Ovis aries: one gene and its partners. The protein of the gene in region 1 interacts with the protein of each later gene in a pairwise test. Links are inferred from orthologs where the notes say so. Each region holds a gene or a part of one and is shown in the gene's direction. Other genes may lie near its edges.

Region 1 (3,015 bases):
TTTATTTGTACAAGAAATGGAGTCATTTGTCACGTAGAATGCCGTACAGTCTGGATTTTGCTGCCTGCCTTGCATAGCATGCCTAAGCTATTCCTCTTTTCCCATAAATGTGTGATTCAATGGAAACGCTTGATCAGATTCCAGGTAGATTTTTTTTACAAGGCTGTTTGAGAAGTAGTGGTGTGTACTTCTCTCAGGGCACTTAATGTCTTCTTGGCTTTCTTTTTGCCAGTGGCCATCAGTGATCACCACCCAGACCATTAGATTTCTAAATCTCTCAATGTCTCAAAAATTTCCATCTCCTTATCTGTGCTGCATTTTGAGTCATTTCTTCAATTGTAAATTCCAGTTTGCTCAGTCATTTTTCCAGGTACATCCAGTCTGCTGTTTAGCCAGCTGACATAAAAAAAAAAAATTTTTTTTAATGTTTTTTTCTAAATCATTTCTTTTAAATCCCATTTTGTTTCAAGTCTGTTTCTGATCTTGGTAGTAGGTCACGTTTGTGTGGCGTCTTTAACTTCTTTGAACATTGCATACAGAATATGCAGCTGCTCTGTGTGTGACAGTTTTAACACTGGCAGTCTTCGGAGGTCTAAGTCCACTGCTTACTGTCTATTCTGACTCGTCGTAGCTTGCTTGCTTCTGTGACTGGGTATCTTCGGGCTCTTTTCTTGGTCTCAATCAGGGGTAGTCATCGGGGCCTAAATGGGGATCAGGGAGGTTTCAGAGAAGGCTTGCCTCTGCTTTTGTAATAGCTGAAAGTTGCCATCCACCTGGGTCTACACTGGCACCTCTGAGAGGCTCTCATGAGACCAAGCTCAGCATCTCCACTCAAGGCCTGCATCAGCTCAGCTTCCTGATAGCAGAGCTGCCGTGACCACTTACTTTTTTGTAGCCCTGCCTCTCCCAGGCGCTCAGGGCCCACTTCTCTGGTTCTGGCCCTCTGCTCCCAGCTCACTTTTTTAAATTTAAACAAAGGTTTTGTGGCTTATTTATTTATTTTGAGAAGGGAGGAGATTTCCCCTACGTCTTGTGAGACCGACAGTGTCTTAAAGTATATGACCTTTCTAGAGGTTCGCTGTTGTTATGGGAGTGTTCTAAGGACCTAGTTGGTCATGGTGCCAGAATTGGGAAAAGTCTGCCCCCCCCCCCCCCCCCCCGGAATCTGAGCTCTGTGTGTGTGTGTGTGTGTTCCTACAGGAATTCATTGAAGAGTTGCTGTCTCCCCCCTTTGGGGGCCTGGTGGCATTTGTAAAGGAAGCCGAAGCTTTGATTGAGCGAGGACAAGCGGAGCGACTCCGAGGGGAAGAAGGTCTGAGGATGGGGTGGATGGGGTGGGGTGAGGGGAAAGAGGATGGGAAAAGAAAACTGCAAGGATGCAGATTACATGGGGAGGGCGAACACCAGAACGGGGTTGCAGGGTGAGGACCTAGCGGGATCAGACATCACTTAGCCATGATCTTTTTCCTCCTCCTCTCAGCCCGGGTTACTCAGCTGATCCGTGGCTTCGGCAGTTCCTGGAAATCATCGGTGGAGTCTCTGAGTCAGGATGTGATGCGGAGCTTCACCAACTTCAGAAATGGAACCAGCATCATCCAGGTAACCTGTGACTCCCGGTCCCCATTCGCACCCCGCCCCATCACTGGTTTGCCCTCCTCTTTTCTCGGGGCTCGGAATCATACAAGTGACCCTTGATCTTCAACTACCAGCTGTGCCCAAAGTTCTGGCCGAGCCCTAAGCTGACGGCTATCATCATCCTTAGAATCACCCTGCATCTCATCCCTCCGTGACTTTCTCTGAGCAGGGAGCTTTGACCCAGCTGATCCAGCTCTATCATCGCTTCCACCGGGTGCTGTCTCAGCCACAGCTGCGAGCCCTCCCTGCCCGGGCTGAGCTCATCAACATCCATCACCTCATGGTGGAACTCAAGAAGCACAAGCCCAACTTCTGAGGCGCCGGGCCCTGGGGGCCACCAGCCCTCTCCATGGACTTCTGAGCCCCATCCTATCCCCCTTTTCACCCGGGGCTCCCTGCCAGTGCCCCTTTGCCTCCTAGGCTCTCACAGGCCTCACTCTGCCTTCATTCCTGGGACTGTGCTTCGTCAGGATAAGCCGGATCCCCTTGGCTTTGGGCATGTCTCATGTCCAAGTTTCCCAGGACCACTCGCTCCTGGGCTTCCAAACTAACCTCCGTTATCTTTCCAGTGTTGTCATTCCGCTCTTTCCTCCCACTGCCCCACCCCCAAGGCCTTTTTCTTCTCCCAGTAAAACCTTCTGGTTCACTCAGCTCTTGTCATCGTGGCATGAGGTGTGACGCCTCGACTCTTGGAATTGTTGTGGCAAGGGAAGACTGTCTCATAACGGTTGACTTTTTTTTCCCTTCCACTCAGTGATTTATTTTCTGTAGCTTTTTGACCTAAGATCTCAGCAACTTGAACACTAATCAGTCGCCTCCTGGCTTCAGAGTTACATCAAGGTCAGTGTGCAGAAAACAATAAATACTTAATATGATACAACACTCTTTTCCCATTTCTTTTCTCCTCCTCCTGGGAGAGGAGGTCCTTCAAGTAGCCCCGTCTCTGCCCCAGGATCACCTTTGCTCTCTGCCTCCTGGGCCTGCATCCCTTTCTGGTGGGTGTCCAGAAACTCGGGGCCGTGGTTACCTCTAACCTGCAGCTCCTTCAGGCCAAAGTGGCTGCATTGGTTTTAGGGCGGGAACTGTTTCAGGAGTAACCAACCTGGCTGAGGAAGTGACCCTGGTGAAAACGGCAGATGCCGGCCGCCTCGGCTCCTCTAAGGCAGACACCGGCTCTCCTTGCCTCTGGCCTCCCCAGGTTGACGCTGGGATTGCCTTCTCTCCTTGAGGGTCAGCTCCCTAGCTCCTCCGGTGCGACCGTCACAGCCCTTGCTAGGGGGCTGCAGTTGCCATTGCGCTGGGCCGTGAGCAGGCCAGGTCTGCAGTGTGGCCATCTCATCCCTTCCTGTGTCTCGGCCCCTTCCTGCTGCTGCCGCCTTA
Region 2 (3,500 bases), on another chromosome or scaffold:
AAGGAACACAGATGACTGAACTGAATGAAAATCAGAATGCATTCCAGTGACAGCAAGCCCTGGCCCTATCGCCTGCCTTTGCAGCCTGCTGCCAGGTGGCGCTAGTGGTAAAGAACCTGCCTACCAGTGCAGGAGATGTAAGAGATGTAGGTTCGATCCCTGGGTCAGGAAGATCCCCTGGAGAGGGAAATGGTAACCCACTCCAGTATTCTTGCCTGGGAAATCCCATAGACACGGAGGAGCCTGGTGGACGACAGTCCATAGGGTTGCAAAGAGTCAGACATGACTGAAGCAACTTAGCACGCACGCATGCCATTAGAAGCAGATTGGCTGGGTGTGGAGCAGGCTGTCCTCGTGGTGTCAAGAGGTCATGGGGTGTGTCAGTTCCCTCTCCACCCTGACAGGGCCTTGTCTGTTTTCTGGCACCGTCATTTGAGGTGAGTCACGTGTGGAGAAATCAGTGGCAGTTAGTGACTCTCTGAGACAGAAAATCCTCCCCCACCCACTCAGGCTTTACTGTCTGAGGAGCAAGCCAGGTTAATAGACGCATGTCCAAGGACAGAAAACTTCTGCTAGGGATGCTGATTTCCCTACATCATTTTTTTAAAAATAGATAATAAAGTCATATGGTTTAGAAATCAAAACAGTAGAAAAAGATGTATGGTGAAAAGTCTTAATTCATCTTTGTCCCAGTCCACCTAATCCCCTCATCAATAGCCATTTCTGTTAATTTGGTATCCTTCCAGTGTGTATGGGGGCAGATACAAGCAAGTGTGAATGTACACATATATTTGCCTACCTTTCTTACACAAAAGTAGCGCCTTCTGTATACTTCCGCAGGGGTGGCAGGTTTAGATAGAAAGGTCATGAAAGAGGTTCAACTGAGCTGAGATCAGAACGATAAGGGGCCAGCAAAGGGGAGCAGCAAAAGCAAGAGACAGTAATGAGCAGGGTGGGATGAGGAAGAGAGAATGCCAGAAGGGCCTGAAGTCAGTGCTGGGAGCATGGTGTGAGGAGAGGCACAGGGCCAGATCAAACAGAATTTTTAAGTCCTGGGCAGGAGTTTGGATTTATTTTAGGTGTAATGGGAAACCATTGTAAAATTTTAAACAGGTGAGGAATATGATCCAGTTTGCATTTCTAAATGATCACTCCAGGTGCTGAGTGTAGGGTGGATTATAAAGGGGTAAGGTGGAAGCAGGAAGACCAGTTAGAAGACATGATAATTTAGATGAGAGGTGATCACTTGAACTGGGTTAGTGGTAGTACAGATGGAGAAAAGTGGACACACCTAGGATTTTTGAGATAGGGTCTAAGATTTTGAAAAGAATCAAATATTATTTGATTCACTTTCAGCGAAAGTGACAGTTGGATTAATGATATTGATAATGACTTCTTTTCTTATGAAGCCTTTGTATGTTACAATCTGAGCATTTTGAAGGCAGAAACTGTCTTACCTTTTTAAATTTAACCACGTAGCAAAATGTTTGGCTCATAAAAAAGCGCTCAGCATCATTCATCCATTCATCAACATCTAGTAAGTGCCCGCTCTGTCTGTCCCATGCTGGAGGCCAGAGAATCCTCTCACTTTGCATTATCAAGGAAGTAGGCTGAAATATGATCTTTATGAAACTGAAGAGAATGTGATTCTACAAAAATCTAGACCTGTTTTGGAGCGTAGGCATTGCTCCTTGGGACTCAGGGCAACACCTCGGGTTGGGCCTCATAACATAAGAACTTGGGGGAGCTCCCTGGTGGTCTAATGGTTAAGGATTTGGCACTTTCACTGTTGTGGCCCAAGTTCAGTCCTTTGTTGGGGAACTGAGGTCTCGCAGCCAAAGAAAAATGAACTTTTGCCAGTAAGTCTCTGCCCCCCTCCCCCCAGTTCATCCCTCAGGACCCATATCAAATTCTGTCCTGTCCATAAATACCTGCCCTGACTGACCTAGACTGGAAAGATCTCACCCTCCTCTGGATTTTTTGGCCAATTATTGTATATTTGTAATCCAGTTGGCATTTAATAATTGACCACCTTATGTCTTGCACTCACTGTCCTGGAATGTTATTTATAGTTCTTATTGTTATATAACTTTTTACTTGTCTTATGTCACAATCCATTTGGAATCTTGAGCACAGGAAACACATCTGAAGCCTTACCCATCGCAGATCTCACTGTTGCCGTGACCCCAGGGACCTCTGGCGCTGGAAGCTGCACAGCGGCTTGATCGGCTTTGCAGAGTTATCGTCCCCAGGCTCCTGGCTCCGCTAATTCTCTTGTGTCCCCTTTGCCCTGCTTTAACTTCTTCCAGGCCCCTCACTGTGAGCATGCTTTCTGCAATGCCTGCATCACCCAGTGGTTCTCTCAGCAGCAGACGTGTCCGGTGGACCGGAGCGTTGTAACGGTCGCCCACCTGCGCCCAGTACCTCGGATCATGCGGAACATGCTGTCAAAGCTGCAGATTGCCTGCGACAACGCTGTGTTCGGCTGCAGTGCTATCGTCCGGCTTGACAACCTCATGTCTCACCTCAGTGACTGTGAGCACAACCCCAAACGGCCTGTGACCTGTGAACAGGGCTGCGGGTAAGAGTCCTGCCTTTCTTCTGCCCACAGAGAGGGGTCTTCCCGTTTATACCCATCTGTGGACCTCCCACTCCCTGCTGAAGAGGTCTCCTGTGTGCATAGGCAAGGAGTGCTCTTGGCCTCCCTGGCTCCCTGCTCCAGGATCTGTTTTGTGCTGCTTTCCGAGCTACAGTCTTTGTCCTCTTGCTTTAGTAAGAGAAGGGAGACCGCTTCAGCAATCTGTGTGATACCACTAAAGACTGATTTACTTTATTCCTCCCTTTTGTCCAGTACTACTTCTCTTTGTCAGATTCACTGCTCTAATTTCCAGGCCTTTCATGTTACCTCTGGTCCTATTTTGTCTTTCTTTGGGGTGTAAGATATTTGATTAAATACTGATAGCTGGGGCTTTGAATCTAGGGCTTCTCAGAAGGAATGAGTCCACAGGCAGAATCTGTAAGAGGAACGCAGAGCCACGTGGGAGATAAAACACTGTCTTGGAGAAGGAAAGAGGCCCAGAGGAAGAAGACAGCAAAGGGATATGGTGGGTGGGGGAGCTGGGGAGAAGGAAGTGAAGGCAGTAAACAAGAGAATGTTAGAAATGAATGAATGTTAGTAATTTCCGGTAGAGAAAAGCCCTCTCAGCAGTTACCTGCCTGTGCCACATATCTCATTGAACGCTCCTGTCGTGTTCTTTTCCCACCCTGGGTGGCAGCCTGGAGATGCCCAAAGATGAGCTGCCAAACCACAACTGTATTAAGCACCTGCGCTCAGTGGTACAGCAGCAGCAGACACGGATTGCAGAGCTGGAAAAGACCTCAGCGGAACACAAACACCAGCTGGCGGAGCAGGTAGGGCCTGGAGAACACAGAGTGTGTGCCTGTGGTTGATAGGCACGGATGTGAGCGGCGGATCTGTGCCTGTGCTTGTGAGCCTGGTT
Region 3 (4,125 bases), on another chromosome or scaffold:
GTGGGGTGTGGGAAGTCCATCTCTCTCCTTCCCTCCACCCTTGTCCCCATCTCACCTGAGCCTCCTGCACCTTCCCTGCCTGGGTCTCCTCAGGGTCAGAGGCTGGGGGAGGAGGGGGAGCAGACGTGGTTACAGTGAAGGGATTGGTTAAGGGGGAATGAAGGGCTTCTAAGTCGGGGTAGAGAGGGGCAACAAGACCTCCAACCTAGTTATATGGGGTGGGGGTATCAAAAGGGAGTAGATGGAGGGAGGGAAAGGAAGAAAAGCAGATCTTATTAGAGTGGAGAGTGCTGGGAGGAGAGGTGGTTGGTGAAGGACAAAGAGGCTGGGACATGGAGGCTTAGGAAAGCGAAAAGAAAGTAAAGCATATAAGGGCATGAAGGAAGACTTAGGAGGAGTTAGGAAGGACACAGTAGTGTGTGAGTGTGTGCTGGGAGGGTTAGGTTTACAAGCAGAAGAAAATGTAGAAAGAAAGAGAAGATAAGGGATACTGGGGCTGGAGGCAAGTTTGCAAGAAGAGGTGGTGGGGGCGGAACGGAAGGGCGAGATGGCAGGTTTACAAGAGGAAGGAAGAGATAGGAGGGGACACCAGGGGTCCCCAGCACCCTACAGTTCCCACTAACAACCAGGTACCCTTAGCAACCCGGACAGCGGTATTCTAAGTCCCTAGTAACAAGGGTCCTTAGCAACTAAGGTGCGAGACACACGCTATCATTAGTCACTTAGGGGAAGTGGCAAACGGACCCTTAAAACCTCGAGACCCAGAAACCCACCAATCTATCCAGCAATATATATCACAACGGCTCCCTGAACCTCATTCCCCTCCATGCAGCCCCCATCTCCTGCCCCACCACTCCCGCCCTCGGGCCCCGGGGCCTGCAGCCCTCAGCCAGGCCCCGGCGCGGCCCGACCCTCCCACCAGGGCCCCCGACTCACGATCCGGATCGGCCATGGGCGCGGGGCGGGGGCCCTCGGGACTGTCACCGACTGCTCTATCCCGTGACGGCACCGGAAACAGGAGGGGGGCAGAGATAGGTCAAAGAACTACAACTCCCAGGAGGCATAGAAAAACGTCCGGAGCGTGCCCCTCTGAGGTAAGAAGAGACACGCGAGAGCCGGACTACGAATCCCAGAGTGCCTCGCGTCCGCAGCCATGTTGGTAAAGGGCGCGCGGAATGAGTGGGAAAGGGTAGAGAGTCGCAGTCCATCTGAATACTCTGATTGGTCACGGTGTAGTATGAGGGCGGGGCGCTTACTATTTAGCCGACTCTGATTGGATGAGTCCGGGGGGAGTGTTGGGGAATTCCCAGCAGGGCGGAAGCGCCAGAATTCCAGGCAGAGCCCAGCGACTGGCGGGCAGCCGCTGGGGTCCCCTGAGGCTTTGGGGGCTATGGCCGGGGTCGCGTGTTTGGGGAAAGCTGCGGACGCCGATGAATGGTGCGACAGCGGCCTGGGCTCTCTGGGTCCGGACGCGGCGGCCCCTGGAGGACCTGGGCTAGGCGCGGAGCTGGGCCCGGGGCTGTCGTGGGCGCCCCTCGTTTTCGGCTACGTCACTGAGGATGGCGACACGTGAGTGAACCTTAGCCTGCCACACCGAGCCTTAGGATGATCCCACATCTGATTCCCTGTTAGTCCCTGATACTGATTTTCCAACCTCTTAATCCTAAATCTGTCTTCTAATGCTTACTCTGACCTCTAACCCCCGAGTCTAACCCTTGATAAAATCAATTTCCAAGCTAGTTTTTATCATAACCCCGTCCTTTCTGAAACTTTGGCCCTCAGAGTTTCATATCCATTGACTAATTCCACATTCAAAACTCAATTTGAGCTTCCTGACCCCAGTCCTGAGACCTATCTTAAAACTATAGCTCACAGGCTCCTTCTGACATCTCACCTCCAAATATGATCTTTGATCCTTAGCTCCTAATTTAGGAGCTTTAAATTTTGATTTCCAAAATTAACATTTGGCTTTTGACTCTAAGATCTCCCACTTTCTGAGCACTGATCTTCAAATCCTACATTGAAAGAGAAAATGTAAACTCTATGACAGCAAGGATTCATCTGTTAAACAAGTATTTATCTAGCACCTACAGCGTTTCAGGCCCAGTTGTAGATGCTGGTGATAAAGCAGTGAAGAAAGCACAACAACTTATGCCTTGTGGAGCTTACGTTCTAGTGTGGGGGGTCTATAAATGGAAGGGCAGACAGACTGACAGGAAGGAAGAAAGGAACAGTAGGAGAAACAAAAAAGAAAGAGAGAAGGAAAGAAAGAAACAGAGAGCCGTATAGACACAAAGTAAGAAAGAGAGAGGAGAGAGAGAAGAAACAGGCAGAAAAACGAACGAAAGAAAAATGGTGTGTCAGAAGACAGGAATTTCCTTGGTGAAAAATAAAGCAGGAAAGAATGAGACAAGTAGATTATCTGGGGAGAGTATTCCAGGTAGAAGGAACGACGTCATAAAGACCTAATTGAGGGAATGTACCCGGGGTTTTTGTGTGTTGTGTTTACTGCCGTAGCCCCAGTGACAGAACGGTGTTTGACCCATAGGAGGCGCTCAAGAAACACCGGTCTTCCCAGAGAACCAGCTGTGCTTTCATTTATTTTCTCTCGTCTCTTTTTTTGCTTTCTGTTGTGTTTATCTCTGTTTTGACTTTCGTTATTTACTTTCTTCTGCTTACTTTGAGTTTATTTTTGTTCTTTTTCTAGTTTCTTAAGGTGAAAGCTGAGGTCATTGATTTGAGGCCTTCCTATTTTTCTAATATAGGATTCATGTGAATTTCCCGAAGTAGTGCGTGAGCTGTATCTCATCACTTCTAATGTGCTGTGCTTTCATTTCCACTTAATTCAGTATAGTTTCTAATTTCTCCTTTGATTTCTTCTTTGGGCGGTGGATTATTTAGGAGTATGTTATTTAGTTTCCAGATATTCCGAATACCTTCCTTTTATTGGTTTGTAGTTAAATTCTATTGTGTGTGCAGTTGAAAAGAATGTCTGGTATCTTGTTGTTGAGTGTAGTTCTCCAGATGTCAGTTAGAGGTTGTATGGGTTTCTTTTCTAAAACTTTTATTGATTTACTTTTGGCTGTGCTTCGTCTTTCTTGCTGCCCACGGACTTTCTCTAGTTGCGGTGTGAGGGCCTCTCATTTTGGTGGTTTCTCTTGTTGCGGAGCAGTGTCTCTAGGGCACAGGCGCAGTAGTTGCTTCGCGTTGGTTTAGTTTCCCCGAGGCATGTGGGATCTTCCCGGATTAAAGACTGAGCCTGTGTTCCCTACCTTGGCAGGTGGATTCTTTAGCACTAGACCTGTAAGTCCTGTGCTGGTTTCTTTGGTTCTTCTCTTTTCCAAGTCTATTATATCCTTGCTGGTAATTTCTCTCTACTTGATCTATCAGTTACTGAGAGTAAGGTATTGAAATCTTTAATAATAATTGTGGGTTTCCTTGTTGTTTTATCAGGTTTTCCTTCATGAGACTGGATGCTCTGTTATAAGGAGTGCAAATGTTTAGGTTTATTGTGTCCTCTTCCTGAACTGACCTCTTTATCATTGTGAAATAATCTGCACTATCCCAGGTAATATTCCTTGCTCTGAAATCTTACTCTTATTTTAAAACACTCCTACTTACTTTTGACTGACAGGCGTTAGTATGGTATATCTTTTTCCATCTTTTTATTCTTAACTTAGTTTTAAATTTATTTGAAAAGCTGTTACTTGTATAGTTAGGTTTTGCTTTTTAAAAAAAAATGTTTATTTTTAATTTATTTGGCTGCATCGGCTCTAGTTGCAGCATGTGGGATCTTGTTCCCTGACCAGGGATTGAACCCTGGCCCTCTGCATTGGAAGTGCAACGTCTTAACCACTAAACCATCAGGGAAGACCCTAGGTTTTGCTTTTTTATCCACTCTGACAGCTTCTCCTTTTTTAAAATTTGTGTTTATTTAGCTGTTTCTTTTTGGCTGCACTGGGTCTTGGTTGCTGCACACAGGCTTTGTCTAGTTGTGGCGAGCGGGGTATGCTCTCTAGCTGTGCTGTGCAGGCTTCGCATAGTGGTGGTCTCACTTGTTGGGGAGCACGGGCTCTAGAGCACACAGGCAGTTGTGGCACGTGGCGTTAGTTGCCCCACGGCATG
Region 4 (3,500 bases), on another chromosome or scaffold:
TTAGATTTTAGGAAAATCTAGGGCCTGTCCATGGGCCTAGATTAAGAAACTTTGGTTCTAGCCATAGCTCCGTATCTGCTATGTTCAATAACTGGGGGAAATCTCTGTCATCACTCCTCCAACAATGGACATACATTTTGTTTAGTTTACCCTAAGTTATATGTTTTCCTTTGGGTTCAGTCCAAGAAAGATGCTAGTAGAAGTAGAAAGTTATTTTTTATGGGTATAATATGTGCTAAAAAAAATAATTTTTTAAGGAAAATAAAGTGAAAGAAAGGTTTGTTTTGCTTTGTTCTGACTTTTGTTTTAATTCTATTAAATAGTAGTAGCCATCACTTAGCAATAGCACTGGTGTTTTCTGGCAGGCTACCTGACTCAGTGTTCTATCACTGTATCATTTTAAAAGTACCCTTTGACATCTTCCTAAATGTGTATACTTGACTATAACAACAGCAACAACAGCAACCAATAGGAAACAAGCTAAAACAGAACTGAGGTCTATTACTAAGGCCGAAAGCTTCTGGGAAAGTCAAGATGGGTCAGGTTTTTCCCAGTCTCATAATCCACTTTTGTGACCGTGGCCTTTTTTGTTAGGTGTTACAATCACATGGGCTGTTTGTCACGCTGTTTCTGAAATATCTCCATATCTCAAAGAGAGCCTCTTTATTAACAGCTTCCATGAGGAAATTCCAAGAGCAGAATGAGACGTTCCAGGCCAACAGAGCCAGAATGGCAGAAGGGCTGGCTTTGGCATTGGCCAGAAAGGACCAGGTATTTAACGTGTGGCACTGCCCAGACTGGGGGGAAAGTCTCACTTGGCGACATGCTTTCAAAACTCATGCCATAAACCTGGTAGGAAATATGTACAATCTAGGAGAAAAGGATTGTGCTTTGTAAGTTCTTTGAAAGTTCATTTGGCTGTAGGGTGGGAAATTATCCAGAAACTTTATAGTTGTGATCGTAGAATGTGTCCATATGTGAGTATCCTTTTCCAACTGTGTAGCTGTGTAAAATAGAGAAGGAAAAGAAGTAGTATGTCCATAATCTGGTGATGAGCTCCCCCCAAGATGAGGGAAAAAAGAATCTCTGCCCTCCAAAAACCTGTCTGAAAGCCTGTCCCAAAGCACTTACCTTGTTATAGTGGAGAAGGTGCTATTAAGCTAGCGATCATCCATGATGTACATAGTTCTTACAACCTTTGTCCCAAGTTTCTTCTTCCCCAGCCAGCTAGACTGAGAGGAATTTCTGTAACCTCAATAGAACCATCCATTGAAAGATGCTGAATAAATGACAGTAGAAAAGGAAAATAATACTATTACTGGTTATTACAGTAATTATAAAGTTTATTTTGTTCAGTGGCATTTTAAATTTAGGATAAACATCAAATATTGTAATGATTGTGGAGAAGGAAATGGCAACCCACTCCTGTATTCTTGCCTGGAGAATCCCAGGGACAGGGAAGCCTGGGGGGCTGCCATCTATGGGGTCGCACAGAGTCAGACACAACTGAAGCGACTTAGCATGCTTGCATTATAATGATAACACTTGTTTTACAGTGTGTATTAGTCATCTCAGACATTAACCAGCTAGGAAAAAACATCATTCACCAATATTTAGTGAATAACTGTGGTGTGAATGTAAATGAAGAAATAATCTAGCATTGGTGGACTTGATTGTAGGCAATTAGGATATAGCCTTTTGTCCCAGTGGTTATTTTTTACCCTCTTCTGTGATTGGTGAATAAGAGGCATAGTCCTTTCTTCTTTAACTTTTATCAGATGGCATGAAGGATATTGGTAAAAATTAAAATGAGAAGGAAAATAATGATCAGGGACTCCTGAAGACCACCCTGTTCACCTCTTTTTCAGTAAATTAATTTTTAAGTGTCAACTGCGGAGTTACCAACTCAGCTGCTCCCTGCTACCCACTCCTAAGAAATAATAACAGTACTCAGAGACAGAGACTCAGAAAGAAGGTGAAAGCTGCATCAGAAGAGCTATATAGCTTTATGTGCTCTGCTTTGTAAAAGTTTTCTGGCTTATATTTGTGCTCTAGAATTTTATATAAAATTCATTTTCTTCTCCTTTTAGGACTCTTGGCTTTCTTACTGTTAAGCCAACATCGTGGCTTTTTTAATGTGCTATTTTGTTTGATTGATATGTTGCTTTGGGTGAGGTGGGAGGGTTATTTTGTTTTCTGAAAATCTTGATTTTGTTGATACTCTTGCCTGGAAACTGTACTTCTTTATTGTTTTGTTTTAGGAATGGTCAGAAAAAGTGGATCAGCTTGAAAAGGTTAGTTCATCTTATTTTTGTCTCCTTGTGAATATTGGCCTCTTCTCTGGGGCTTGGAAAATGCTTTCTCCAGTACCTAGTACACTGGTACCACTTCTTGGCAGCAGGGTGCCAGGTGATTAGACACTGACTTGGAAAGCTCTTGTCTTCGTTTATAGTTGTGATCTGTTGTTTGCCCTTCTTGGTGTACTCTCTACCCATCTCCTGCCTTTCTCTGTGTGTCTGAAGGCCCATAGGGACTGCATCAGCAGGGCTCCGTTGCCCTCTGGCTTGTAATTGAGGGCCCCAGTGGGGAACACCAAAAGATCTAGGTGGAAGAGTGTGATCAGAAGTTTATTCCCCCAGCCATCTCCACGTGAGGTCCCTTCTATTTGATTGCATCCCATGGCCAAAGGTCACAGCTTCAGTTTTACCTGTGGTTCACCCTCAGCTATATAGTTTCTCTTTCTGTGTTTCTTGTCTCTTTCTTGTGTTTCTTCTTTATGCCTTTGCCCCCTTTATGCCCAATGCTACTAGCACATTATCTCTTTTGGATTTTCTTACCCCACCCACAGCTTTGAAAAGTCTCTATGAGACTCTCCAAAATCCCTAATTTGAGTCTGCTTCCTGCTAGAGCCCAGATTGACACGGTGTTAACACTGGGAATACTTTTTGAGGATGCAGTGGGGAAGGAGAGCATTTCTGAAGGCTTAATGCTGAGCAGATAAGAGAACTTCTTAGCTAGACATAGATGAGAAGAATTGATTATTCCAGCACCATGACACTGTGTAGGTGCCTTATGTAATGTGTTCCTGGCTCTGAGACATGAACAGGAAAATGAAATTTCACACCTACAATTAGAAACACATTTTAATTTAAAATAATCAATTGTCAGTTTGCTCAACCCAAATTATATGCTGCTTCCTAATTCATTCCTTCTTTTCATTCAGTACTTATTCTTTATGATAGAAAATGATTTCTCAGATTGATATATTCAACTATATAATATATTTACTATTAATTTTATTAAAATAATGAGTTTTATTATTGCACCATTCTTGGGATAAAACACCAATTAAACCAGCAGTTTTCTTTGTGTGTTCTAAAGAAATCTGATTATGCAAGCTATCAGAATGTCTTAACATATTTATGTAAGGGAAGAATTATAGAAAAATCAAGCTATCTCCCAAAGAAACTTGTGTTTAAAAGAAATATGTATATATACAC
Region 5 (4,006 bases), about 20 Mb from region 1:
CCCAGCCCTCCCTCAAAGGCTAGGAATCATGGGCTTCTTGGGCCTGGGAAGGTTCATGGGCCAGAGATGAGGGTCAGGGACCTCCAGTCTCAGGAGGGTGGTTCCTGAGCCTGTCATAGAAGGAGGGTGCCCAGGACGGGAGGAAAGAGGCAGTTAAGTTGTGACAAGGGCTTGGCTCCATTCCTAAGCCATTCTCCCTCTGCTAGGTGTACTACCATGTGCTGGGGCTGGGCGAGCCTCTGGCCCTGAAGTCGCCCCGGGCTCTGAGACTCTTCTCCCACCTGCGCCATCCAGTGTGCGTGGAGCTGCTGACAGTGCTATGGGTGGTACCCACCCTGGGCACTGACCGCCTGCTCCTTGCTCTCCTCCTTACCCTCTACCTGGGCCTGGCTCACGGACTGGACCAGCATGATCTCCGCTATCTCCGGGCCCAGCTACAAAGAAAACTCCACCTGCTCTCCCGGCCCCAGGATGGGGAGGCCGAGTAAGGGGTTAACCCTGGTTGCAAGCCCTGTACTTCCTCTCTCCCTCCTATCCCAAATTCCCTTAACATCTAGGCCTTGGCTGCTTCAGACCAGAGGCCCAAATCCATGGACTGAAGGAGTGGTCCCTTTCCTTGCTTGAGCCTCCACTCCTTGGTTCCAGCTCCATACTGAATTTCAGCCATTGGACTCCAAGGGCCACTTCTCACCAGCCAGGAAGGAGTGGCTGGGAACTTCTTCTCACAGTTCAGGGCTTGACCCTCCGTTAACAATTTCCTCACCAAGAGAAGAGTCTGGCTTGACCACTCCCTTAGCCCTGTTACTACCCTCTGTGCCTCAGGGATCCTTTCTCCACGTCTAGCTCCCTCCCAGGGGCTGGACCGAGGCCCACTGTCTGGCCTTTTCAGCTCCCTAGGCCCCGACCCTAGGCTCCATCCTCCTGAACCTAGTTGAGCGGTTTCTCCCGTTCTTAGCTAAGGTGACTAGAGGCTCCCTGCTTTCCCGAGGAACTCACGCTACAGGAAAATAAAATTCAGTCTGGTTTTTCTACGTGTAGAATGCAGTCTGTCAGTGTCTCTCAAAGCTGCAGGGCTGGCTCTGGGAAAGGCGAGTTACATTGGAGTCTGGGCATCGGCCGCGCCTTCTGGTGACCGCTGGGCGGCGGCCACTCCCCGCGCACCCAGCCCTCCACCCCCTTCCCGGAGCACCCGGTCCCCCTTCCTCCAAATCTCCCAATTTCCTTGCTGCAGACCCGGGTGGGGGACGGGCTGAAACGGAAGAGTGGGGAGACGGTTCGGGTAAGGGAGCGAGCTTCCGAAACCGTTGTCTTCCCAGCCCTGCTCCTGTGGCCGCCCCCTCCCCACGGGCCCCGCAAGCGCCCCCACGGTAACAAAGGCTGGCCCGGGAAGGCAAAAGCGTGGGGAGGAGCGGCAGGAGATGGGAAGGGCGGGCCCGGCTCCGAGCAGCTGCCGCTTCCTCCCGAAGTCCCTCGAGGGGTCTGAGTCACGGGCCGCCGCCCCGGCTTGGCTAGCTGGGGGTGGGGGTCTGGACACCTGGGCTGTCCAGGGTTACCGGGCGGCAGCCGCGTGAGAGGCCCTGGGGAAGGACCGCGGAGTGCCGGGGATCGCGGCGGGAAAACAGGAGTCCCGGGGCCGAGGATCCACGCGGGGGACCCGGGGAGCGAGGCTCCGCCCCCGCGCCCGGCTCCGCCCAGCGCCCCCTTCCCTCTCCCCATTGTCCTCAGACAAAGCGGCGGCCGCCCCCCGCTCGGCCCCCGGGTCTGTCTCCGTCCCTCCCCTTCTCCTCCCTTCCCCCCTCCCGCGCCCCCCGCGCCCCCCCCCACCTCCTGCCCCGGATCTCCCTCTATCCCTCTCTCCTCCTCTTCCTCTCTCCTCCTCTCTCCGGACGTCAGGCTCCTTCGCACCCCCTCCCCCGGGAGCCCCGCGGCATGTGAGTTGACCCAGGGGCTTCAGACTTGGGGAGGGGGTGTCCCCTCCCTTCCGTCCCGGGCGCGGACCTCGGGCTGCCTCTCCTCTCTTTGTGCCGAGATTGCCCGTCAGTGCGGTCATAGCCGGGTGGGGACGGCTGGCGAGGTCGGGGTTCCATGAGCGCCGAGACCCCGGCGCGAGACTGGCCGGCTCCGGAGAGAAGCGGTGTGGAGCCGGTGCTCCGTACGCCTGAGGCGCTCGCTCGCCCGGGACCCCGGGGCATCGCCGGTGGGGGAGGCCGGCGGCGGGGCCCGGACCGGGTTAGGGTTGGTGGGGGGTGGACGCCAGGGTTCTGGGAACGAGCTGGCAGCTCCGATCGCCGGGTTCCGAAAGTCCCCGGGGGAGGGTATTTCCCCTGGCCCGCCCCGGGGCGGAGTGCAGGGCGGAGGGGTGGGGGCTGGGGGGTCTGAGAGGCGTGGCTCAAGCGGAGCTGGAAGGGGAGCCCGGACCTCCGGGGCCCGCGCCGAGACTCGCCCGGCTACAGCCGCCGAGCTCCCTCGCCCCTCTGCCCCCGATTCCCCCTTCTCCCCTGGACCTGTCCACTCTCCGCCCTCCCACCTTCCCGACACCCCTTCAGGTCCCACTGCCCCCTCTCCGCCGGGGATCCCGCTGACCTCGCTTCCCACTCCCGCCGCTCCTGAGGTAGCGGTCAGGCAACCTCGGTCGGATCCTGCCCCGCTCACCCCCAGCCTCTCTTCTCTCTTCTCCCTCGTGCCAGCTTCTTTCGTTTTTCCCTCTTCTCACAACCTGGGGACTGTCTCTGATGCCCAGTAACCTGTACCCACAAATCTGACTCCTGTCTCTTTGCCCTGAATCTCCACTGTTCCTCTCGACCCACCTCCCCCAACCCCATCACCTGGCTCTTAGTTTCCTCTTCACTTTCTCAGGTTTTCCCCTTTCTCTGCTCCCCTCCGCCGCCCCCTTTCCTACTGTCCTCACCCTCAGCTCCTCTGTGACCCACCTCTCCCCCTGCTTCCTCTCCCCCACCCCCATTCTCACCTCCTGGGCCCCTCTGGAGCCTCTCCTTCCTGTTCTCTGCCCCCCAGCGTTCCCCCACCCTCCCCAAGGCGACCATGGCCACCATCCCAGACTGGAAGCTACAGCTGCTAGCCCGGCGCCGGCAGGAAGAGGCAGCCGTTCGCGGCCGTGAGACGGCAGAGCGGGAGCGGCTGTCGCAGATGCCAGCCTGGAAGCGGGGCCTTCTGGAGCGCCGCCGGGCCAAGCTTGGTCTGTCTCCTGGGGAGCCTAGCCCTGCGCCTGGGACTACGGAGGCTGGACCTCCAAACCCAGACGAGTCTGCTGTCCTCCTGGAGGCCATTGGGCCTGTGCACCAGAACCGATTTATCCGGCAAGAGCGCCAGCAGCAGCAGCAGCAGCAGCAGCAGCAGCAACAGCAGCGGAGTGAAGAGCTACTCACGGACAAACGGCCTGGACCTTTGGAGACCCGGGGGCGGAGACCCAGCCCCGGGGAGACACGGGATCCCAGCCCCAAGGGAAGAGAGTCCAGGGAAGAGCGGCTCAGTCCTAGGGAGGCCAGAGAGAAGAGGCTGGGGATAGGGGGCGCTCGAGAGTCGAGCCCCAGGCCTTTGGAGTCTCGGGACTGGAGGCAGAGCCCAGGAGAGGCTGGAGACAGGAGCTCTAGACTGTCAGAGGTGCGGAAATGGAGGCTGAGCCCTGGAGAAACTCCTGAGCGGAGTTTGAGACTGGCAGAGCCCCGAGAACAAAGCCCCAGGAGAACAGAGGTGGTGGACAGTAAACGGAGCCCCGAAGAGTCTGACAACCAGAAGCTGGGCCTGACAGACTCCCATAAATGGAGGCCTGACCCCAAAGAGTCTCCGGGACAGAGTTTGGGACAACTGGAGGCATCAGAGTGGAGGCCGAGTTCAGGAGAAGAAAGAAAAGACTGCTCAGAGGAATGGGGGAGAAAAGACGAGAGGCCGATTCCAAGAATGGACCCAGAAGGGACCACAGCGTCGTCAGAGACCCCAACAAGGGAGGCTCCAGACAGTCGCTCTGCAGGACCAGAGGGAGCAGAAG
Region 6 (3,500 bases), on another chromosome or scaffold:
CTGTATTTTCTAATTATAGGTAGCCAATGTACAGGTACATTTATTTTTATCTAGTATTTATACACCTTTCTACTTGAATTTTTTAAGCTTCTCTGGTTATCTTGTATTTTCGACATAAGTAATCATACTGGTTGCAAATTGTGGCAGTTTCTTTCTTTTTAATTCTTACCTTTTATCTCTTTCTTTTCTTACTGCCCTGAAACCATAATACAATGTTGATCAGAAGGTATGATAGGGACAACCTAACGATGCCTACTGTTTTTTAAAGGAGTGCTTCTAATATTTTATCATTAAATATATTTGCTATATCTGTTGTTAAGATTGTGTGACTGTAATTATATAAACTTTAAAAAGTACATTACTTTTCCCCCCTGTTAATTTTCTAAGGTTAAGCCATCCTTGTAGTCCTGGGCTAAATTTTAATTATGTCCCTATAGTTTAGAGGGGCTTCTTGGTTAGTTTTTATGTTGCCTGTATCTATGTTTGTAAATGAAGTCCACCTAAAGTTTTCCCTTGAACTGTCCAGCTTGGTTATCCAAGTTGTATTCATCTTAGAAAATGTTTTGCTTTGTTTTCACTGTTTTTCTATTCATTGGAACTGTTGTAAAAGACATAATCTACTCTTGCAGGTTTGGTAGCACATAAGCTAAAAGAAAAGGTAGAAAGAAAGATTAGAAGATGGAGTTATGTGGTAATAGATTATAGAAAGACTGCCAGAGAAATATCTTGAGGAACTAAAAGAATGAACGCTATTTTAATTTTATATTCCCACTTAAGTCACCCTTACTGTGTGCTGGGCACTGTTACAAATAATTCACTTAAGCATATAGTTAAGGTGGATGTAGTCTCCCTATTAGGAGGGACTTTGTATTGTTTCACTGCCCACCCTTCCTCCACTCATTGTACCCAAGCTAAACTTCATTATCATTAGTTCTGGTGTTCACAGGAATGCCTTCTCATGACTTGGCCTTTGTAGGAAAAAGATGTAGTTGAATAGATGGTTGGGTCAGGGCTCCTTCCCCTGCTTGGACCTGGTTTGCCAGGAATACAGGGCTTTTTTGCCTGGAAAGGCCAAGGGTTGAAGGACATTGGGAAAGAGGTTACTGAAACGTAAGTTCTGTTTCTTACCCAGGTGAAATTTCGATGGAAAAAGTGAAGGTAAAACGTTATGTGTCAGGAAAGAGGCCAGACTATGCCCCTATGGAGTCCTCAGATGAGGAGGATGAAGAGTTTCAGTTCATTAAGAAAGCCAAAGAACAAGAAGCAGAGCCCGAGGAACAGGAGGAGGATTCATCTAGTGACCCTCGGCTGCGGCGTTTGCAGAACCGTATTAGTGAAGATGTGGAGGAGAGGTAATGACAAGGGTTATGTTATCCTGGGCGTGAACCCAGCAATAACTGCTAATACTTGAGTCGCACTTCCTGTGCACCAGGCACTGTTCCTGGTATATTACTTTAACTAATTGTTGTAATCCACATGATGACTTTATGAGGGTATGATTCTCCCCATTTTTACAAGCCAGGAAACTACAGCAGAGTGGGGTTTGGAAAATGACTCAAGGGGATTGAAAGCACAGATCGCTGGTTGGTTTGTTGTGGGGTCTTTGTCGCACAGAGATGTTTTCTAAAATTTGAGAAATTGACCTTTTCCAGGTAGTTATTCTAAAAGCTAATGAGGAGAAATGATACTGACAAAATAGGAGAAAAGGACTGATGAGAGGTCTCATGTCAGAAAGGGACTCCTTCCAACGAAGGATTTTGTGTATTTTGTATTGACTGAGACATTACCTTACAGAGTAGCCAGAGGTTCCCAACTTTCACAGTTCATGTTCTCAGGAGTTCTTTCACAGAGCCTCTAGGCCCAAACAATTCTCTTTATTTTATTAAGTAGTTAGAGCCAAATGATTTAATAAATATTTATGTCCTAGCAACTTAGGAACTTAAAAACTTTAATACCTATAAAAGAAAAACCATTTTTATTTCATGTTTGCATAACCACAATTACTTAGCTTTGGGGTTTGTGTGCCTCTTGGGCACTACCAACTTCTCAAACCTTGGAGTCACCTTGGCACAGTCACTCATTTCCTGTTCTCTGTTGACTTTCATGCAGAACTTGCTTTTTATCACAGCAGCCCAAAAAAAGGTTTATAAAGTCACGATACCATTGAAAGGAAACATAATGTGATCTGCTGTTAAAACTCAACTACGTTGAGCTTTACAGTATATCCCAGTGCACCCATCTAGCTTGGTACAGTGCCCCAGGGTGCCTCAGCATACATGTAATGGTTTAGGTCCAACTTGACTATTTCTTCTGACACTTGGAGTTAGTTTCTCTAGTCTGCACCTCAGTTTCCTCATCTCAGAGCTTCAGTGCTAGTAAAAGGAAACATCATGTCCTGGCACTCTGTGACTGAGGAAATGTCCTTTTGGTGAGGTTGGTGTTACAGTCAGACACTGTCTTTCAGATTGGCTCGACATCGGAAAATAGTGGAACCGGAAGTGGTTGGAGAAAGTGACTCTGAAGTAGAAGGGGATCCTTGGCGCATGGAACGAGAAGATAGCAGTGAGGAAGAGGAAGAAGAGATTGATGAAGAGGTATGGTTAAGGAAAGTGGGAAGTTCTTTCTGGGTGGAAGAAGAAATTAGGGCCAGTGCTCCTTTGTTGAGGCCTTAGAAGCACAAGATATCTGCTTTTGGCAGAAGTCTGATCCAGTGCTCCCTACTTGTTTTGGATAGGATTGAAATAGAGTGGTACTAAGTTGCATATACTCAACCAGAATTTGTTGAGCTTGATGAGGTAAGAATAAAAAGCCACTGCAGTGCACAGGCCATTTGGCTGACTGGCCTGGACATGTAACTTGATAGGAAATAGAACGGCGTCGCGGCATGATGCGCCAAAGAGCACAGGAGAGAAAAAATGAAGAGCTGGAGGTCATGGAGGTGGAAGACGAGGGACGTTCTGGGGAGGAGTCCGAATCAGAGTCTGAGTATGAGGAGTACACAGACAGTGAGGATGAAATGGAGCCTCGCCTTAAGCCAGTCTTCATTCGGAAGTAAGTATGTCACAAACCAGGCCTGAATCCACATAATTACTGCTTTCTGGGTCTGGAGACGGAAGCCTCTTTTCTCGCTCATGCTCTTCTGAAATGTAGGCACTAAGTAAAAGTCTTCTGTCCAGTGCCCCAGCTCAGCAGAGTGTTTGCTCAGGAGTATCTTGGTATTGGGCTTCCCAAGTGGCTCAGCGGGTGAAGAACCCACCTGCCATTGCAGGAGCCATGGGTTCGATCCCTGGGTTGGGAAGATCCCCTGGAGGAGGGGATGGCGACCCACTCCAGTATCCTTGCTGAAGAATCCCATGGACAGAGGCGCCTGGCAGGTTACAGTCCATGGGGTCGCAAGGAGTCAGACACAAGTGAAGCGACAGAGCACGCACACACGCATCTTGGTGGCAGTCTGAGTTAGTTTTCACATCTCCTTTCCCACTTAAAGAAAACACACCTGC
Region 7 (3,997 bases), on another chromosome or scaffold:
GTCAGTTAAGAGAAGAGGAGAAGAAAGCCTAGGGAGGACTGGTTGAGATCTGAGGAAGGGGAGTGACTGCAATTTGGAGTAACAGGTGCCTGAGAGAGTCCAGAGGGAAATGGGAAAATCGCCATCGAGGTGGCACCTTTGAAAGCCGCTTCCACGTCACTGCAGGCTCATCACCCTAGTGCCGGGAGAGCGAGCTTCGCTGTTCTTCATCTCCTCAGACCTCAGGATGTGAAGGGACTGCAGTGGGGCTCGCGTGAGACGTGTGAAAGAAAATCCGAGAAATGGTTTGCAAACTGCAGAATGTTAGCACTGGAGGGGGAGCTTAAAGGTAGTCTACTCCATCCCCTCATTTTATAGAAGAGGAAACTGAAGCCCCAAGAGACGAACCGCTTCGCCCAAGGTCAAACTGCTAATTATCCGGGGCTAGAACCCAAGCCTCCAGAAGCCCAGGGCCCTTTTCCTCTGCACTGCGGTGAGTGTGAAACACCTGGAGCGCGGGGGTCTAAAAGGCTTCCTTGAGGCTCCCTTTCCGTGCAAGACCCCAGAGGTGTCGTAGGCTGAGGGATGGACTGGTTGACTTTTAAAGAGCACCTTTTAGCCCCCAGACTCTAAAATCCTGCAGAGGGATGCGGGCAACAATCGACAGCCCTGAACTCCTGCTACAGCTTAGCGGGATGTGAAAAAAAAGGGTATCCCCTCCAGTCCCGCCCTCCCCGGGGTCCCTCTCCTTACCCCGGAGAACGCGGGCATTTCTCGCCCCTCGGCCCTTCAGCGCCGTAGCAGCTACCACCGCCGCCATGTTCAGATCCCACCCCCCCTTCACCGCAGTCCCCGCTGGGAATTGTAGTTTGCGTAAGGGGCCTCCCCCGCTGTATCCGTCCGGCCTACAGATCAGAAACTACAACTCCCAGAAGCCCAAGCAGCGTACCCAAGAGAACTACTCTTCCCAGGAGAGCCCGGAAGCGCGCACACTCGCTTGTTTCCCTCCTGTTGGGGGCGGAGTCAGGTCGGGCAGAGTTTGGGTTCTCCTCTCCACGCCTCGGCCTCGTCTCCCGCTTCTGCCCTGTGATTGGTGACTCAGCCGGTCCACCCCTTTCGCTATTGGTCAAGAGGCCGTCGCTCTCCCTGCCGGGGAGTCGCCTACGCCTACTTCCTCCCGGGAGGAGGGGCCCGAGTTCCGCGTCGTCGCGCAGAGCTGACTCTGGGAGGCGTTTGGGCCCAGAGAAGTGGGTCCGCCGCTTGCGCCGCATGGAGTCCGAATCGGAGAGCGGGGCCGCTGCTGACACCCCCCCGTTGGAGACTCTAAGCTTCCATGGTGACGAAGAGATTATCGAGGTGGTAGAACTGGACCCTGGTCCTCCGGACCCGGGTAAGAGCTGCGGATCCTCAGGCCATGGGACAAGAGGCTCTTACCCCTGGCTTTTGACCCCGGCTTTTCCCCCCTCTGCTCCCCACCCCACCCCACCTATCATTCCTACTTACCTCCTTCGCCCTTCCCCTCTCCCCCAGCCCCACACTTAGTTCTCAGGCCTGGCCCGGGGTGGGGGTTCCCCTGACGCCTCCCCTGGCCCTTCCCCTCACACACCCCCTTCCCATCATTCCTTCGGTCCTCCCTTCCCACACGGTCTCTGGCCAACCCCAGATCCTCAGAGCTCTCCGGTCCTTCGTTCCGCACGCCCCCTCCTCCCTGCCGCCTCTCACCCCCTCCCCGCTTCACCCCTCCTGTCTGACCTCACCTTGCCCTCTCGCCACATGACCACCCCAGCCTCGGGCCTCCCCACACTTGCCATCCCTCTTCCCGCCTGCCGCACACCGTCTGTTAACCCTCTCCCCAAAGCAGACGATCTGGTCCAGGAGATGGAAGATGTGGACTTCGAGGAAGAGGAAGAAGAAGAGGGCAATGAGGAGGGCTGGGTCCTGGAACCCCAGGAAGGGGTGGTCGGCAGCATGGAGGGCCCCGACGACAGCGAGGTCACTTTTGCATTGCATTCTGGTAGGTCCCTGGGGAGAGCTGTCCTAAGATCAGTCCAGGTGGACATTAGAACATCATCCGCTGTGTAGCGGTGGGAAAATGTTGCCTTTGTGGTGGAGGAGCTGTTGGCTCCTGGAGTCGGTTGAGACACACTTGGGTTCAAATCCTGTCTCTGCTATTTGGTTGTTTATGATCTTTATTGACGTCTCTAGGCTTTAGTTTCCTTTTAAAAAGTTGTCATTGATAAAAGTTCCTTTACTCTGAATTAGGGATAATAGTACCTTATGGATAAACCTCTTAAATATTAACTTTTGATAAGGAACCAGTAACACAGGCTTTCCTCACTCAGCCCCCAACCTGGTGGCATCCCACTCTGAGAACTGTAAGCCCTACACACGTCCCCTCCTCTTGTCCACCACAGAAGTGTGGGGTGAAGGGAAGAGCGCAGGAGGGTGATGTGTCCTGGGGAGGGACTTAGAATTTGGCAAGCTTGGGGAGGACTTCAACAACTGAATGCTTGAAACTTAGAAGAGCTTGGATGCACTCTTCTTTTCTAGGAAGAAAGACATGTTGCTTTAGGTGGAACGGGGTGGGCTCCCCAAAGGTCCTGAAGGACGGGACCTAGGTGGGATCCCCACTTCCTTACTCTTGGAATATCTCTTGGGACAGCATCAGTGTTCTGTGTGAGCCTGGACCCCAAGACCAACACCTTGGCAGTGACAGGAGGCGAAGACGACAAAGCCTTTGTGTGGAGGCTCAGCGATGGGGAACTGCTCTTTGAGTGTGCAGGTGAGGGGGCTCGATGAAGTCCTGCCTCTTTGGAGGTCTTAGGGGGCTGGCCTGCAGTGGTTGTACATCCAACAGCCATTTATTGACCTCTGTTTTGCCAGCTCTATGCTTATCCCAAGAGCCCCAAAGAATAGCCTAGTCTTTTGTGGGCGTGGGGGAGGGAGACGCTGATTGGCCAAGGGAGTCAGGGAAAGAGTTGGAGGAGGCGGCACTAGTGACGGAGAATGGGGGTGGGAAGGAGGCTGTGGATATTTCAGGCAGAGGTGTGATGTGGACAGAATGGGGAAGACATAAGTCTGGGCTACACACGGTCAAGTGGGGGCCCAGCAGTGTCTTGCCTGGGGAGAGCTGGGGGTGTTGGCCTCTGCAGCAGCTCTGAGTTTGGTTACCTGTTCTGTGGGGACTCATCCTGTTTTTCCAAGCTGGTACTTTCTGGGGGCTGGACACCTGGGTCCTGTATCCCCAGCACCAGGTACCCCGACATTCTCTTCTCTTTCTGCTCACTCTCTGCAGGCCATAAAGACTCCGTGACTTGTGCTGGTTTCAGCCATGACTCTACCCTAGTGGCCACAGGAGACATGAGTGGTCTCTTAAAAGTGTGGCAGGTGGACACAAAGGAGGAGGTCTGGTCGTTTGAAGCAGGAGATCTAGAGGTGAGACTGTCACAGTAGGATTCAACTCTGAGGGCCGAGTGGAGTGGGGAGAGCTCAGGGGCCCATGCCACCTTGAACGGATCAAGCCAGCTCTGAGCCAGTGCTCTCCCAGAGGATAGCAGGAGTGTCTGGGCCCGTCACCTGGGATGTCCCCACTGACTCGGTAGCAGGGAGAGCTTGGTGGAGTTCCGGGGGCAGGCTTCTAGGCAAGATGGGGTAGGGGGTACCCCTGTTGAGCCTTTGTCTCTGCCCAGTGGATGGAGTGGCACCCTCGGGCACCTGTCCTCCTGGCGGGCACGGCTGATGGCAACACCTGGATGTGGAAGGTTCCGACTGGTGACTGCAAGACCTTCCAGGGCCCCAACTGCCCGGCCACCTGTGGCCGAGTCCTCCCTGATGGTGAGAGTGGCATTCCTGAGTGTGGACACGTGGGGTCTGGGTTCCATACCTTCCTGGCACCCTCCTGGGCCATGGTCAGCAAACTCCGAGGTCTGCTGTTGGGAGCAGGGACCTCCCAGGACCAGAGCAAACAGCTCCCCCTTTCTCACCCGGAACTGGGCCTTCCTTGGGGCACTGTCTGCTC

The links.
Region 2: the proteins of VPS52 (region 1) and RNF41 interact in binary tests that used the Homo sapiens proteins (3 or more experiments, as listed by UniProt). The link is inferred for Ovis aries from reciprocal best matches to the Homo sapiens genes VPS52 and RNF41.
Region 3: the proteins of VPS52 (region 1) and NFKBIB interact in binary tests that used the Homo sapiens proteins (3 or more experiments, as listed by UniProt). The two-hybrid records come from large-scale screens. The link is inferred for Ovis aries from reciprocal best matches to the Homo sapiens genes VPS52 and NFKBIB.
Region 4: the proteins of VPS52 (region 1) and GOLGA1 interact in binary tests that used the Homo sapiens proteins (3 or more experiments, as listed by UniProt). The two-hybrid records come from large-scale screens. The link is inferred for Ovis aries from reciprocal best matches to the Homo sapiens genes VPS52 and GOLGA1.
Region 5: the proteins of VPS52 (region 1) and PPP1R18 interact in binary tests that used the Homo sapiens proteins (3 or more experiments, as listed by UniProt). The two-hybrid records come from large-scale screens. The link is inferred for Ovis aries from reciprocal best matches to the Homo sapiens genes VPS52 and PPP1R18.
Region 6: the proteins of VPS52 (region 1) and MFAP1 interact in binary tests that used the Homo sapiens proteins (3 or more experiments, as listed by UniProt). The two-hybrid records come from large-scale screens. The link is inferred for Ovis aries from reciprocal best matches to the Homo sapiens genes VPS52 and MFAP1.
Region 7: the proteins of VPS52 (region 1) and AAMP interact in a two-hybrid assay, tested with the Homo sapiens proteins (2 studies listed by BioGRID and IntAct). The link is inferred for Ovis aries from reciprocal best matches to the Homo sapiens genes VPS52 and AAMP.

What each region holds. Positions count from the first base shown.
Region 1 is NC_056073.1:7,583,037-7,586,051, reverse strand, and holds the end of VPS52 (vacuolar protein sorting-associated protein 52 homolog), read left to right. Parts: intron 1-1,200; coding exon 1,201-1,312; intron 1,313-1,480; coding exon 1,481-1,599; intron 1,600-1,804; coding exon 1,805-1,951; 3' UTR 1,952-2,515; downstream 2,516-3,015. UniProt on the Homo sapiens protein: Acts as a component of the GARP complex that is involved in retrograde transport from early and late endosomes to the trans-Golgi network (TGN).
Region 2 is NC_056056.1:163,342,686-163,346,185, forward strand, and holds part of RNF41 (E3 ubiquitin-protein ligase NRDP1), read left to right. Parts: exon of another isoform or gene 1-2,309; coding exon 2,310-2,581; exon of another isoform or gene 2,582-3,275; coding exon 3,276-3,411; exon of another isoform or gene 3,412-3,500. UniProt on the Homo sapiens protein: Acts as E3 ubiquitin-protein ligase and regulates the degradation of target proteins. Polyubiquitinates MYD88. Negatively regulates MYD88-dependent production of pro-inflammatory cytokines.
Region 3 is NC_056067.1:47,982,114-47,986,238, forward strand, and holds the start of NFKBIB (NF-kappa-B inhibitor beta), read left to right. Parts: upstream 1-1,325; 5' UTR 1,326-1,390; coding exon 1,391-1,569; intron 1,570-3,797; exon of another isoform or gene 3,798-3,870; intron 3,871-4,125. Other genes in the region: SIRT2 (NAD-dependent protein deacetylase sirtuin-2), read right to left, coding at 56-102, 937-952. UniProt on the Homo sapiens protein: Inhibits NF-kappa-B by complexing with and trapping it in the cytoplasm.
Region 4 is NC_056056.1:10,987,164-10,990,663, forward strand, and holds part of GOLGA1 (golgin subfamily A member 1), read left to right. Parts: intron 1-673; coding exon 674-771; intron 772-2,261; coding exon 2,262-2,294; intron 2,295-3,500. UniProt on the Homo sapiens protein: Involved in vesicular trafficking at the Golgi apparatus level. Involved in endosome-to-Golgi trafficking. Mechanistically, captures transport vesicles arriving from endosomes via the protein TBC1D23.
Region 5 is NC_056073.1:27,438,566-27,442,571, forward strand, and holds the start of PPP1R18 (phostensin), read left to right. Parts: upstream 1-1,206; 5' UTR 1,207-1,279; exon of another isoform or gene 1,280-1,931; intron 1,932-3,015; 5' UTR 3,016-3,042; coding exon 3,043-4,006. Other genes in the region: NRM (nurim), read left to right, coding at 207-488.
Region 6 is NC_056071.1:53,261,622-53,265,121, reverse strand, and holds part of MFAP1 (microfibrillar-associated protein 1), read left to right. Parts: intron 1-1,132; coding exon 1,133-1,352; intron 1,353-2,464; coding exon 2,465-2,594; intron 2,595-2,863; coding exon 2,864-3,051; intron 3,052-3,500. UniProt on the Homo sapiens protein: Involved in pre-mRNA splicing as a component of the spliceosome.
Region 7 is NC_056055.1:220,305,940-220,309,936, reverse strand, and holds the start of AAMP (angio-associated migratory cell protein), read left to right. Parts: upstream 1-1,197; 5' UTR 1,198-1,248; coding exon 1,249-1,369; intron 1,370-1,837; coding exon 1,838-1,993; intron 1,994-2,641; coding exon 2,642-2,761; intron 2,762-3,274; coding exon 3,275-3,414; intron 3,415-3,668; coding exon 3,669-3,813; intron 3,814-3,997. UniProt on the Homo sapiens protein: Plays a role in angiogenesis and cell migration. In smooth muscle cell migration, may act through the RhoA pathway.